Schizosaccharomyces pombe: one gene and its partner. The protein of the gene in region 1 interacts with the protein of each later gene in a biochemical or structural test. Each region holds a gene or a part of one and is shown on either strand. Other genes may lie near its edges.

Region 1 (6,527 bases):
AAAACCCGACAGTGAAGCACGACTACAGGCTATTGAGCGTAGTGAACTGTTGCAGAAAAAACGACTGTTGCAACGAGTAGATGAATTTTCAAAAGAAGTTAAAACTTTTGTTGAGAACGAAAAGTTGAATAAGATCGGAGGAGCGGAAGAGGCTGATCGAATTCGAACAATTCAAGATGAAAAAGTACGTAAAATTCTATGGGATGACTTTGTGTCATCGAAACGCAATGGAAAAAATGGAGGTAGTTTCATTGAGGAATCGAGTGACACTGTTTTAGACGAACATGTTGTGCCTGATAATTCTGCTAAAGCAACTGTTGCAGAAATAGACTACGGTTCACAGGTGGATACAGAGAATTTTATGTTAGAACGCAGTCCATTGGCAACTCCAAAGCCATTGAAGCAACCTGATTTTAATATATATGAGACGCCGATCGTCCGTAGTACAGCTCATGAAACAGATGATGAACAAACCCCTTCTAAATACTCCGATAACAGAGTCGAAAGTTCTAGTGATACAGTGTTTGAGAATACTGATCTTAAGTACGATAACAATGTACAGATGAGTAAAGTGACTCATCATGTAAGACACGATACGATATCCACTGATGACTATGACGCTTACGAAGATGCCGAAGATGTTGAAGAGACAAGCCTAACTTAATGTGCATAAGTTTTATTCGATTTGGCAATGATTGTATGCCAGTTTGTGTATTTTTTTTTTACTTTTTTTAACTTTAATTGTTACGAGAGAAATTACCCTGTATTACACTAGGACTGATGCAAATCTTGTGAATCAAGGATTTGCTGAATAGAGTTACAACATACCTTAATATGTACAGTTATAACAAGCAAAGGAAGCTTCGATGTTGTCCAATACCACTATTGGGATACTATTTTCACTTACAGTCTAACCAAATATGAGATAAACACAGAAAAGAAATCTTAGATATTAAAGAAAATTTGATTAACTTGTCGTTTTAAAAATCAGATATTGAACCATCGGAATCTTAAATACGACGTACGCCGTAACCGATCAAGGCAACACTTAAGCCTACTGATTTCACTAGAGAAGATATAGTTTTGACAAGGATGTAAGGGGTACCTCTGCTTTCTGTGAACATATAGTCGACTACGTCGGGCAATCCAGATGCACCAAATACATAAAGACCCACGAAAAAGGCACCTTTGAGTGTCACAGTGCCTGTAAGTTGCAACAATGCAGCGATCGAGTACGACTGAACTGCTGTACTAAGGAAATTGCTAACATAAGTTGTAGCAACCTTCTTGGTTTTACTTCCAGCGTCATATTCGACGTGAGGTGCAGTGCTCATTGCCCTTTTCCAAATATCGCCCATTAGGGGTCCATAAACGAGGAAAGAAGCAGCATGGTCGAAGGCAATCCCCAAGAGAATTGCACTAGGGCGTACATACGGCATGTGAGTGTAGGATGGCATTTCTTGTATTAATATTTAGTTTGAGTTAGAACAAGATTAATATGAATGTGAATATTTTGTAAAATAAATGTTTTGTAATTAAAGGATTTAAGGGCGCTACCACTAAATATATAGTATACTCAAGGTCCAATTATGGATTTAGGTACAGATTAATTTGGGGCGTCACTTTGACGTGTCGATGAAGTATGATAATTGGGAAATACTGCTTAGCCTGACTTGACTTGTTTTAAGTCGCTATTTCGCTATTTACATAGTGATATCTACATCATTTTCCTAAACTTTTGGTGGAGCAATATCTCATACTGTTCGGATGCTGTGCCAAGTCTTGCATAAAGAAATCAGTGAAGTCGATAAATATAAGATTTGGAGTGCAGCGATGGTAACAACTAGTGATTAAAAATAGAAATTTACTACAATAATTTTCGCATGTTTTACATTAAAAAGCCCTCACAGAAGAATCAAAGTTGGATTGAAATTCCAGCACTAAAACAATGTAGCTTAGAAATTTTGTTTGCTGGCCCACATTTGATATATTGCAAGCTTGATCTTACGCAGTAAACACTTTTAGGGTAGCTATCGGTTGTTCACACTATTGCGAACAGTGCGTTGAACGACATTACAGCAGCAAGTAAACCTAACCTAGAGGAATAAGAAACAGTCACATTTGTACAACAAGGGTTTAGCAGAGAAACTTTATGCTGTCGAGTTCCTAATCACCACCATCTAACCATCACTTATAAAAGTATCAAAAAATGGTGAACATTCCCAAGACCCGTAAGACTTACTGTCCTGGTAAGAACTGCCGCAAGCACACTGTCCACAGAGTCACCCAATACAAGAAGGGACCTGATTCCAAGCTTGCTCAGGGTAAGCGTCGTTATGACCGCAAGCAAAGTGGTTTTGGTGGTCAAACTAAGCCCGTTTTCCACAAGAAGGCTAAGGTTACCAAGAAGGTTGTCCTTCGTTTGGAATGCGTCTCTTGCAAATACAAGAATCAATTGGTTTTGAAGCGTTGCAAGCATTTCGAGCTTGGTGGTGAAAAGAAGACTAAGGTATGTCGAAGAATGCTGATAACGAGTGGATTGGATTTAGACGAATTTGTAAAAGAGTTTTTGCCGTGGTTGAATACCTCTCAAATCCAGAAAAAAAATTTTGCAAAGCGCTTTTATGAATTGTCTTTTGTTGAGTTTCATCCTTATTATCGATCATTTTCTTTATTTCATCTACTAACAATCATTTTAGGGTGCTGCTATCCAATTCTAAGTGTTTTAGCAAATACAATTTTCTTCTTTTACGGTGATCCTAAAAGCAATTCAAAGTAGTGTTTCATTTGTATTGTATAAATAATGACATGATTCCGATAGAGTAGCACACAAAGTGATGAGTTGTCATCAATTAGCAGTTCGCTAACGCTAAGGTCTGTTCTCAATATTGGAGCAATCTTTTTCGAGTGTTTCTAGTTCCATCGGTTTGAGTCAGAGCTTTTCAAGACTTGTATTACTGCTTGAGTAGAAGACAGGTGTTGTGATTTCGGAAAATAACCCATCACATTTGTCAGCATGTTAACTAAGATAAAAGTAATCAAACAAGTACAGCGTAAAATAGCGAGAGTACTAAAGCATCAAATATGCTTTCAAGTATTGCAAAAAAATTTTCTTTAAATTATCCATGCTTACGGGTCTTCTAAGGTTTAGGAGACTATGCCATTTGCCGAATTATGGATATATTAAGTAACTAATTGCTAATAGTGAGAGTGTAGTGCATCCTTGCATAACGGCACTTGGATTTCACACTGCAGGCATAATAAATAATTACTTTTTTTTGGTACTAAAGCAACGTACGTTCTTTGTTTTTCTGCGTACGACGTGTACAATTCCCTTGCAAAACTAAGGTTCGCTTGTTCAATTGCTAAATTTGTTTTTGTGGACGACCATTATAACGCGCTTCAATGAGTTTATAAAAGTTTCATTAAATTGCAGTACCAGATAAATCGATATCTAACCTTCTCCCTGCATCTATAATCTCTAGCTTCACCAACATTAAGGCCCGTCAATTACTTTCGTTTCGTTGGCCAATATGTCACAACCTTTGCATGCCAGGTTTGCTACCAGGGCTGTAAAAAATCCCATGATCCTTGAGAAAGAGCGACAACTTACGGATTCTAAATATCATATTTTGGTCGCTGCAACGGGTTCGGTTGCGGCGATAAAATTGACATTAATCGTTAAATCCCTACTGACATACAAGGGCGTCGACGTTCAAGTCGTTTTAACGGATCCGGCTCGTAACTTTGTTGAGAAAGAGGACTTAACGGCTTTGGGTGTCAATGTTTATAACAATGCGGATGATTGGAAAAATTGGGACGGACTCGAATGTCCTATCACACATATTGAGCTACGTCGATGGGCACATCTTTTGTTAATTGCCCCTTTAAGTGCAAATACTATGGCCAAAATGGCAAATGGTCTCTGTGACAATTTACTTACCTCTCTTATACGTGCCTGGGCCCCTTTAAAACCAATTCTCTTGGCTCCCGCAATGAATACCTTGATGTGGACTAATCCTATAACTCAGGAACATTTGAGCGCTATTAGCAGAATATACAAGAATAGTGAATTTATCATGCCAATCGAGAAAGTGCTTGCCTGTGGTGATATTGGCATGGGCGGTATGGCCGAATGGAGAAACATTGTAGGCAGAGTTGCCGATAAATTGCAGCTAGAACAAAAGTCTGTCTTGCCGAACGCTGTGAAAAACATCGATGGACAAGATGATGACTCTAGTGAACAAACTGCTGCTTTTGAAGAGTACGATGATGATGATGATGACGATGTTGATGATAATGAACAATCCAACAGTATGATTGAAACTTCTGCAAATGCAGATATTACCCCCAAGGCCTCTCTTTTACCCTCTACTACAGAATCTTCTATAAGCAAAGATCACGAGACCTCCCAAGCTCCATTAGGCTCGGAATCGGTGGATACTCAGGCCTCTGAAAATGTTACTACCAAACCCGAACCTCCTGTACCATTTACTTCCTCCGAATATAGAAATACAGAAGAAGAGCAATACCTAAATTTGATTCGATATATCCTTGAAAATGGCCAGTCGCGGCCCGATCGCACGGGAACTGGTACGAGATCGGTATTTGCTCCTCCACAACTACGCTTTTCTTTAAGGAATAATACTCTACCTCTTCTCACTACAAAGCGTGTTTTTTTACGTGGTGTGCTTGAAGAGTTACTTTGGTTTATTCACGGTGATACTAATGCCAATCATTTAAGTGAAAAAGGGATTCATATATGGGATGGCAATGGCAGTAGAGAATTCCTAGACAGCAGAGGGCTTACTGATCGTAAAGTTGGTGACCTCGGTCCTATATATGGTTTTCAATGGAGACATTTCGGAGCGCAATATGTTGATTGCGATACTGACTATACCAATAAAGGAGTGGATCAGCTGGCTCAGGTTATATCTACCCTCAAATTAAACCCTTATGACCGTCGTATAATTCTTTCAGCTTGGAACCCATTAGCTATTCCTGAAATGGCTTTACCACCTTGCCATATATTTTGCCAGTTTTATGTCAGTGAGCCTTGCAAGCCTGGGGGAAAGCCCCAACTTTCTAGTATGATGTATCAGCGCTCTGCCGACATGGGGCTTGGAGTTCCTTTTAACATTGCTTCTTATTCTCTCTTAACACATATGATAGCTCACATGTGCGGCTATGAAGCTGCCGAATTTGTTCACGTAATGGGTGATTGTCATATATACAATGATCATTTAGAGGCATTACAAACTCAGTTGGAAAGAGTTCCTAAAGCTTTCCCTAAGTTGTTTTTCAAACGTGATGCTAAAGACATAGGGTCTATTGATAGTTTCAGCGTTGATGATTTCGCAGTTGAAGGTTATAATCCTTATGGCCCTATTAAAATGAAAATGAGTGTCTAATTATTAGCCTTTCTTATATACGTTTGCTTCGTTGATGATTTTTGAAGTTGAAACACAATTTCTCTGTAATAGATTTTTTAGTTAATGGATATCAAAAGTTTAATAGCGATTGTATATGTTCATTTATAAAAGTTGCTAAAGCTTATTTAAAAGAAACGACAAGATGTTTAAAAGGATATTATGCTGTTAATTACTAAGACCAGGAGCAAAATTATGCGTAAGTTTTAATGGTCGTTTGTTCTGTAGCATTTTTACCCATTTTTCGACGCTGCCGTTCTTCATAATGCTGCCGACGTAACATAACCCGCTGCTTAATCAAATCAGAACCCAGCTTATCAAATTTATAAAAACTATTATTTGGGGTATTGGAAAGGCTAATGTCAAGCGCTGGTATGCTCACGTCAGTGGAAAATATTGGGTAATATACTTTCGAGATCTGCTCATCAAAACATAACTTTATGTATTTAGAAGATGCAAACAAAGATGCTGGTGGAGGACCAACGAGGATTGAAGATATATATTTGCATTGTAGTAAATTCAAGATACGCTCTAACAGATTAAGCATAGGCTTTTCGAAACATTTCTCATCCGCGAAAATACCTGCCATAATTGGAATACCCGGAAACATTCGAGTACAGAGTTCTAAAGCAGAAATATGCTTCTCTGTAAACAAATCCCAATCACCATCAATGTATATTATGTTCTTTTCGGGATTCAACCTTAGCAAGGTTGTGCCCGAAATAAGGGTTTCTGGCTTCTCAGTGTTATATATAAAAACATCAGTAAAAGGAGTTAGCCCGTCGGAATCAGTTGCAAATCTTCTGAGGAGATCAATTTGGGAAGAAAGTACCGATACAGGTGTAGAATAAATCTCTAAAGGAACCGAACTAAGTAATCGATCTAGGAGCTCGGTAGTGCTCACTCCCTCCGTCCTTTTAACTTCTAAGTATTGGTCTGCTGCTTTAGCAAATCTATAACAATCGTCTCCATTGGCGTCTGTAGATATATCGTCACCATGTACAACATACTGACACCCATATCTTCTCATCCATTCCAAATCAAACACATATGGTGCAGAGGGTACCACTTCATCGACCCATTTACAAGTGTTAGCAG
Region 2 (6,394 bases), 2.2 Mb from region 1:
CTGTATAACGATAACTACAGAGTCACCAAAAAAGGTATGCGTAAGCTATTTTGAGATATTTTATTTTATTTTAAAACCCTTTTCACTAGTAGTTGCCAGGATTATTCAATTGATTAGTAACATTGTCAGCATTAAGGCAAGTTGCAGTGTTCAACAAAAGGAAATCCGATATTTGCGAGGGATAAAAAAAATTAATACAATTTATTCCCAATCAACTTATTTTAAAGACGAAACAGTCAGTAGAAAACAAGCTCTCTTGAAAGATACTTTGTATCTGATCAAAAGAGGTAAATACTTATATAATATTGAAAAGTATCATTGTACTGTATAAAGTTATATAATAAGAACTTAAGATATTTAGCTATATAATATTGTAAACATAAGTCGAGCATTCTCTTGCTCGTTAGATTTCTTATATTATTCAGTTTCAGCAGCTTAAAAACAACATCCTCTATCTTTAAAACAACTTTTAAAAAAGAAGAAAATTCTCTTTATATCTTTGCATAGTATCATACATGGATTATCAGGCATGACAATGAATCTGATAATCGATTATATTTCTACATTGAATCTAAAAAAAAAATTAAAAAAAATTCATTTTACCCTTTACTACGTAGGGTCATTTGTTTTTCCAGTCACAATGGGTCTTTAAATAAGCCAAAATCAAGACATTCTTCTTTTCTTTAATGGTTATGAAAGTCGAAGCACCATGTACCGTTATGTCTCATTACAATTAACTCTGCTTTAGTAGTGTCAAACAGTGTAAATAATTGAAATAAAACGGTTTCTGCATAACATTGAAAGTATAAACTGACAGCTTGCTTTTTCTCAATTCCATTAACATGATATAAAAAATTATATTGACGAAGGTGGGGTTCGAACCCACGCCCACATACGTAGACTAGCAATTGCTTTCACCTGAAGCTAGCGCCATAGACCACTCGGCCACTTCGCCATAACTACTGAATTTTAGAAATTTAGTGTATATATTACTAAACACTTTGAAAGAGCCATTAAACTGTAATCTTTAGAGATTATGTGTGCCTTTATTTAATATATCTGAATTCGTTACTATTCTTCGAATGATTCATTGAACCTTGAAATAATGTGATAAAATATCTTGATTGAACGAAAAAGCTGACACAAACAAAACAACGCAGGAGATTTATCAAAGAACTGCCTACTTGGCAGCATTATGCAACAAAAGTAGCTTACTCATTATACAATAAGGAAACCAAAATACTTATCACAAATGGATCATGGAAAGAAGTACTTAAGTACGATACCACATTCAACTTTAGTTTTCAAAGTGTTGTTTTAAGCCCATCGTATGGGAGATTAGTAATTGATAGAAGATTTACAAAGAAATGGATACATTTTCGCTTTAAATTTATTTAATGCTAATAATAATACTATAATAATTGTTTATTTCCTCCTCATGTAAATTTTTTACCTACTCTTTCGATGTTCAGCAGGTGTCGGTTAGCAAAAATAAAAAGCAAGTTAACTGTCACTATATGGAAATGATTGTGTTTTTATTAAAAGAAACAGAAACTTATACTAAACGTGTCAGGATGGAATTGCCCTCGAACCGATAAAGTGAACCAAGGACTTGATCCATCACCATAGTGACTATAACATAATAACAGATAATACTCATTTAAGAGAATAAAATAGTGTCCCAATAAAACCGCTAGATAATTTCAAATGGAGACCAAAATAGAAAAAATAGAATGCTTACACGCTTTGGGTAACCTGCTCAGCAGGGGGAGATTGATAAATAGCCATACCACTACGCTTGCTCTTTTTTAATTCTCGTCGAATTGCTGCCTGGTCGAGAGGCTTTATAAGTTCAAAGGAACAAAGCAGCTCTGAATTAACACTCATCACGGCCCCCCAATTATCAAATTCCCCACAGTAATTAGGGGCAGAAAACACCGTACATAAAGTTCTGTCATTAAAAAATTCATAACCGTCTTCAACAACCATGTGAGCACGACAGATTAAATCAAAGTCGTGCTTGGCCAAAAATTGCCGGATAACGTTTTTGTTGAAAACAAAAGAAACACCTCGTTCATTATCTTCCCAATCGTTTTCAGTATCAGCAGGATCTGACCATAACAAATCATTCAGCAATCCATAGTCAGGAACGTCAGTAGGACGAGGAATCTCCCGTATGTCATCCATATGACTTAACGATGGAGAAAGACCACCATGAACGCAAAAAATTTTACCGGCTACAACGGACGCAATGGGTAAGCAATTAAAGGTGTTTATGAAAGTCTTCCAAATTTTGATATTGCAACGTCTTTTACACTCATCGTAAAAACCGTAAACGCGAGTGATATTAGCGCATTCATGATTGCCCCGTAGCAAGAAAAAGTTTTCTGGATATCTGATCTTGTACAAAAAGAGCAAGAGGATGGTTTCAAGACTCTGCTTACCACGATCGACATAATCGCCTAAGAATAAATAATTAGAGCTCGGAGGAAACCCACACATTTCAAACAGTCGAATTAAATCGGAATATTGACCATGAACGTCACCAACGATTTTCACCGGCGGGGTCAATTCTAAAAGTGTCGGCTGCGAAAGAAATATTTCTCGTACGGCCATACAAATGCTGGTAATTTCAGCATTCTTTAGACACACACTTTTACTACTTTTTCGAGAATAGCCAACATGGATCAATCTTTGAATCATTTCATCTACGTTAAGGCTAACAACTGTTTCAGGATCATCAGGATCCGTAGAAGAAATTGCCGAATTAGGGATAATTACGGGCCCCTGCTGATCTTGTGGATACACAGGACCATTATGCTCAGAAGCTGAATCAAAGTTGGAGCCAATTGGGCCAGAGCTGGTTGGTGAGGTAGGTGATGTTGGAGAAACGGCATAAGAAGAAGAAGAAGAATGATGATGATGATGCTGGGAAGCGGCCGTAGAGGGACTAAGCATGGCAGGCTGGTTAGAAGGATGCGGCGACGTCGGAGATTGAGAAGAATTTCCCGAATCCTCCTGTTGATGCTTTTGCAACACAGCCGGAGATGTAGCTAATATCCCAGGAGAAGGAGGAGGAGGAAGGCTTGGTGGTGTTTCGGGATACCGGTGACGACTATGGGTTGTATCAGTAGACGTTCGGCGATCATGATTCGAGTCTTTGCCCTTCCCCAGGACTGTTTTCAGAGACTTTAAAGACTTAATGGATCCTTGAGTGTCTGACCGAGAAAAGGATGGGTAGGAATCGAGCTTGCTGTCGGCGTGTTTACTGCTCCCCTGTCCCATTGTATTTCAATTAATGGTAGATTCCGGGAAACTATTCCACTTTGTTCTATTTTTATTTTCTTTTTTACTTCAAAATCGAGACTTCGTTGCTTGCATTTAGTGCCAAAATTAAAAGGTTTCCCAATTGTACCTAGATTTTTTCTATTTTTCGATATTTTCCGTAAATTAGTAGATTTTCTCTTCTTCAAGTAATCCTGGTCTATAAAAATGTTTTGCTTTGCTGACAAAACACAATCGTTTAAAAATTTGTAAGGTCGTGGTGAAGAATGGGTTAACAAGTGATGGGAAGTGTAGTATAAATCTGATAGACGTAGTAGCCCGTTCCATCTTACTCGAGAACTGAACTCGCTGGGTCCATCTAGTGTGGTGCAACGATGATGGCGCACTTACTGTATAATAACTGCAGTGTATTCCAAAGTAAAATAAAAGGCGCAATTGATCCACGTAAATTAACGTTAAATTAAATATGGAAAAATTTCGCGTTACGTTATATACTAGTCTGATTCTTACTCAAATGTTTTTGTTTTGGGTCGATTGGGTTTCTGATTGTGCGATATTCTCTAAACTGTTGTAATATCCATCAAAAGGCAGTTACATCTGTTAATACTAGTGTATAACCTGAGATACCATTTTTGCTGTTCGTTGAACTATTTTTCCCAATTTTTGAGTTTTCCAAAATGCTTATGTTAGACGGTGGCTCTACTGCCATTCTTCCAAAGCTTCCTGAAAGTATATCTGAGTCTAGATTATGGACCTCTGAAGCACTGGTGCGTTATCCAGAGATCGTTGTTAAGCATCATGAAGAATTTTTAAAAGTTTGCGACATTATTAGTACTTTCACTTATCAACTGGATGCTTCTATCTACGACGAAAAGGTAGAAGGTGTACCATTAAAACAGGTTTACGCAAACAGCATTGGGTTACCTGTTTATGCTAGAGAACATTTGGGTTTGCCCAACAAATATATTGCTTTATGTCTCGGAAGTCATGCTGCTACTATTCCTGGATGTATGGAATACAAAATGATTTATGATAAACCCACCGATTTTGAAATGCTATACAATTTTCATAAAAACAGAATTGAAGCCATTCAAGCATCTAATCCTAAAGCTTTCGAAAAAATTGACTTCATTGCATTTGAAAGCCTTCCTCACGTGACTGAAGCAGAAGTAGTATGCCAACTCATTCAAGATATGAAAGGTTGGTCTAAGCGTTGCTGGATCACCTGTACGTGCCCTGAGCGCAGCACTATTGAACGAGTATCGTCCATTATCTCCAAGATACTGAGCATCAATCATGACTCTATATGGGGCATCGGTGTTAATTGCTTTCACCTCAGTTTACTCGAACCCATCGCAAAAATGCTATCCAGTCTTTTACCATCCAACATAACTGCTATTTTGTACCCTGACGGCCGCGGGTTGTATCAAAATCCAGACGGTACTTTTTCACCTGGCTCAACAGATCATCCTGCCCCTTCACCTGAAGAATGGTCAACTATAACGGCTAAATACTCAAATCTACATAATGGAAACCTGATACTCGGTGGATGCTGTGAAACAAATTATAATCACTTATCTTTACTCCGGGAGAAAACGAAGTAAATTATAACCATTTTAATTAATTTTCCTCATGATATTAATATATTTGTATTGAATTAATTTTTTTCTTGTTTAAAGTATTTACCTCAAAATATATATTTCTTCCCAATATCCCAAAATCCATTACAAATGTATCTAATCTACTGCAAAAGATATCAATCTAATAACAAAAATCCAAAACTCAATGTACATATAAGAATCTAATTAGGTGCCTTAATAGGATTAATGACTTTACCACGTTTGGTAACAACTCTGGGAGCAACAGCCTTATGATGTGAAGCTCGAGTAGTCCATTCTGGTCCCATAGGCAAGTTAAGAGATCGTTCATACTGTTCTCGTGATTCAAATGGGAACGGAACACTATCAGCAGTAAGCTTAGCAGCTTTCTTGTTGCGTTTTTCATTAATAATCACATGCTTTAGCTTAGAATCCTTCCGCTTTGACGGATCTAGTCCAGCAATTTTTTTAACCTTAGGCTTAGTCTTTCTTTGTTTTACGCCAACACCTCCCCATGAACCCCAACCGGGCAAACTATGATCTTCTTCTTTCGGTGCATCCTCTTGAACCCAGTCTTCTTTATCCTTTTCAAATTCAGCGACAACATCGTCGCCAGCAAATGCTTTAGCAACAAGCTCTCTCTGCTTAATTGACAAACGACCTTTGGTTGGCTTTAACATAGGTACCGAAACATCAACATCCGATTCCGCTTCCGACGCTGATTCAAAAGCCTTTTCTTCAAAAATTAAATCAGGCTGAACTTTAGGTTCTTCGACAAGTTCTTGAAGGGAGGCAACTTTGTCCATTTTTAACTTGTGATTCTTTTTGTCTGCCTTAGAGCTGTTTTTATCCAACTTTTTGGCAGAAGAGGTCCTTTGGTCAGGTACTTGCAACCATGGATTAGTTTCCTCAGTTGCTTCTAATGGTGATTCCTTTTTTTTTCGAGCTTCGGCCTTCTTTTGTCCTTCCTTCATTTCCGGTTTGTTGACTTTCAGCACCGCTGAATCAGAAACAAAGGGATTTTTCCTTGATGGCAAAGATAATTTTGCAGCTTCTTCGGAAGGCTTAAATGAACGACGGCCTGTATTATTCCCTATTAATACTCCAGGAACCCCGTCCTCTCCTTTTTGAGATGTATCATCTTCATTGGGTACTCCTGCGAGTTCGTCTTCGAATGCTTGCATTTCATCTTGCACTAAAGCCTTTTGTCGATTGGACGCATCACGCATAAATTTCATGCCCAGTACACCTTTTAACTTTGGTTCCTCTTCATTTCGTATTTTTTCAAAAGCGGTTGACACCTGTTCATTTGTGTCATAATCGCTATCCGAGAACTCAGAAACATCTTCTCCATCCATTTCAGATATCTCTTTACCATGGATACGTTGCATAAGCTCGTCTCCTTTCCGTATTTGCTCATTGACTGCTTCACGGGTTCCTTCACCATGTGACGCCCTTTCAAGCATTTTACGGGTCCAAGAGCTTGTGTTTTTGTGACGTTGAGTCATTCT

The links. Proteins that work in one complex are often made in the same cells at the same time.
Region 2: the proteins of hal3 (region 1) and pzh1 form a complex in vitro, tested with the Schizosaccharomyces pombe proteins (one study listed by BioGRID).

Annotation. Positions count from the first base shown.
Region 1 is NC_003424.3:3,720,300-3,726,826, forward strand, and holds hal3 (thymidylate synthase), read left to right. Parts: upstream 1-3,456; 5' UTR 3,457-3,533; coding exon 3,534-5,411; 3' UTR 5,412-5,622; downstream 5,623-6,527. Other genes in the region: bud6 (actin-interacting protein 3), read left to right, coding at 1-664; SPOM_SPAC15E1.02C (uncharacterized protein), read right to left, coding at 1,011-1,457; rpl42 (60S ribosomal protein eL42), read left to right, coding at 2,210-2,509, 2,700-2,720; ect1 (ethanolamine-phosphate cytidylyltransferase), read right to left, coding at 5,623-6,527.
Region 2 is NC_003424.3:1,526,227-1,532,620, forward strand, and holds pzh1 (serine/threonine protein phosphatase Pzh1), read right to left. Parts: upstream 3,547-6,394; 5' UTR 3,286-3,546; coding exon 1,738-3,285; 3' UTR 1,339-1,737; downstream 1-1,338. Other genes in the region: SPOM_SPAC57A7.07C (homocysteine methyltransferase), read left to right, coding at 3,963-4,889; U3 snoRNP protein Utp14, read right to left, coding at 5,087-6,394.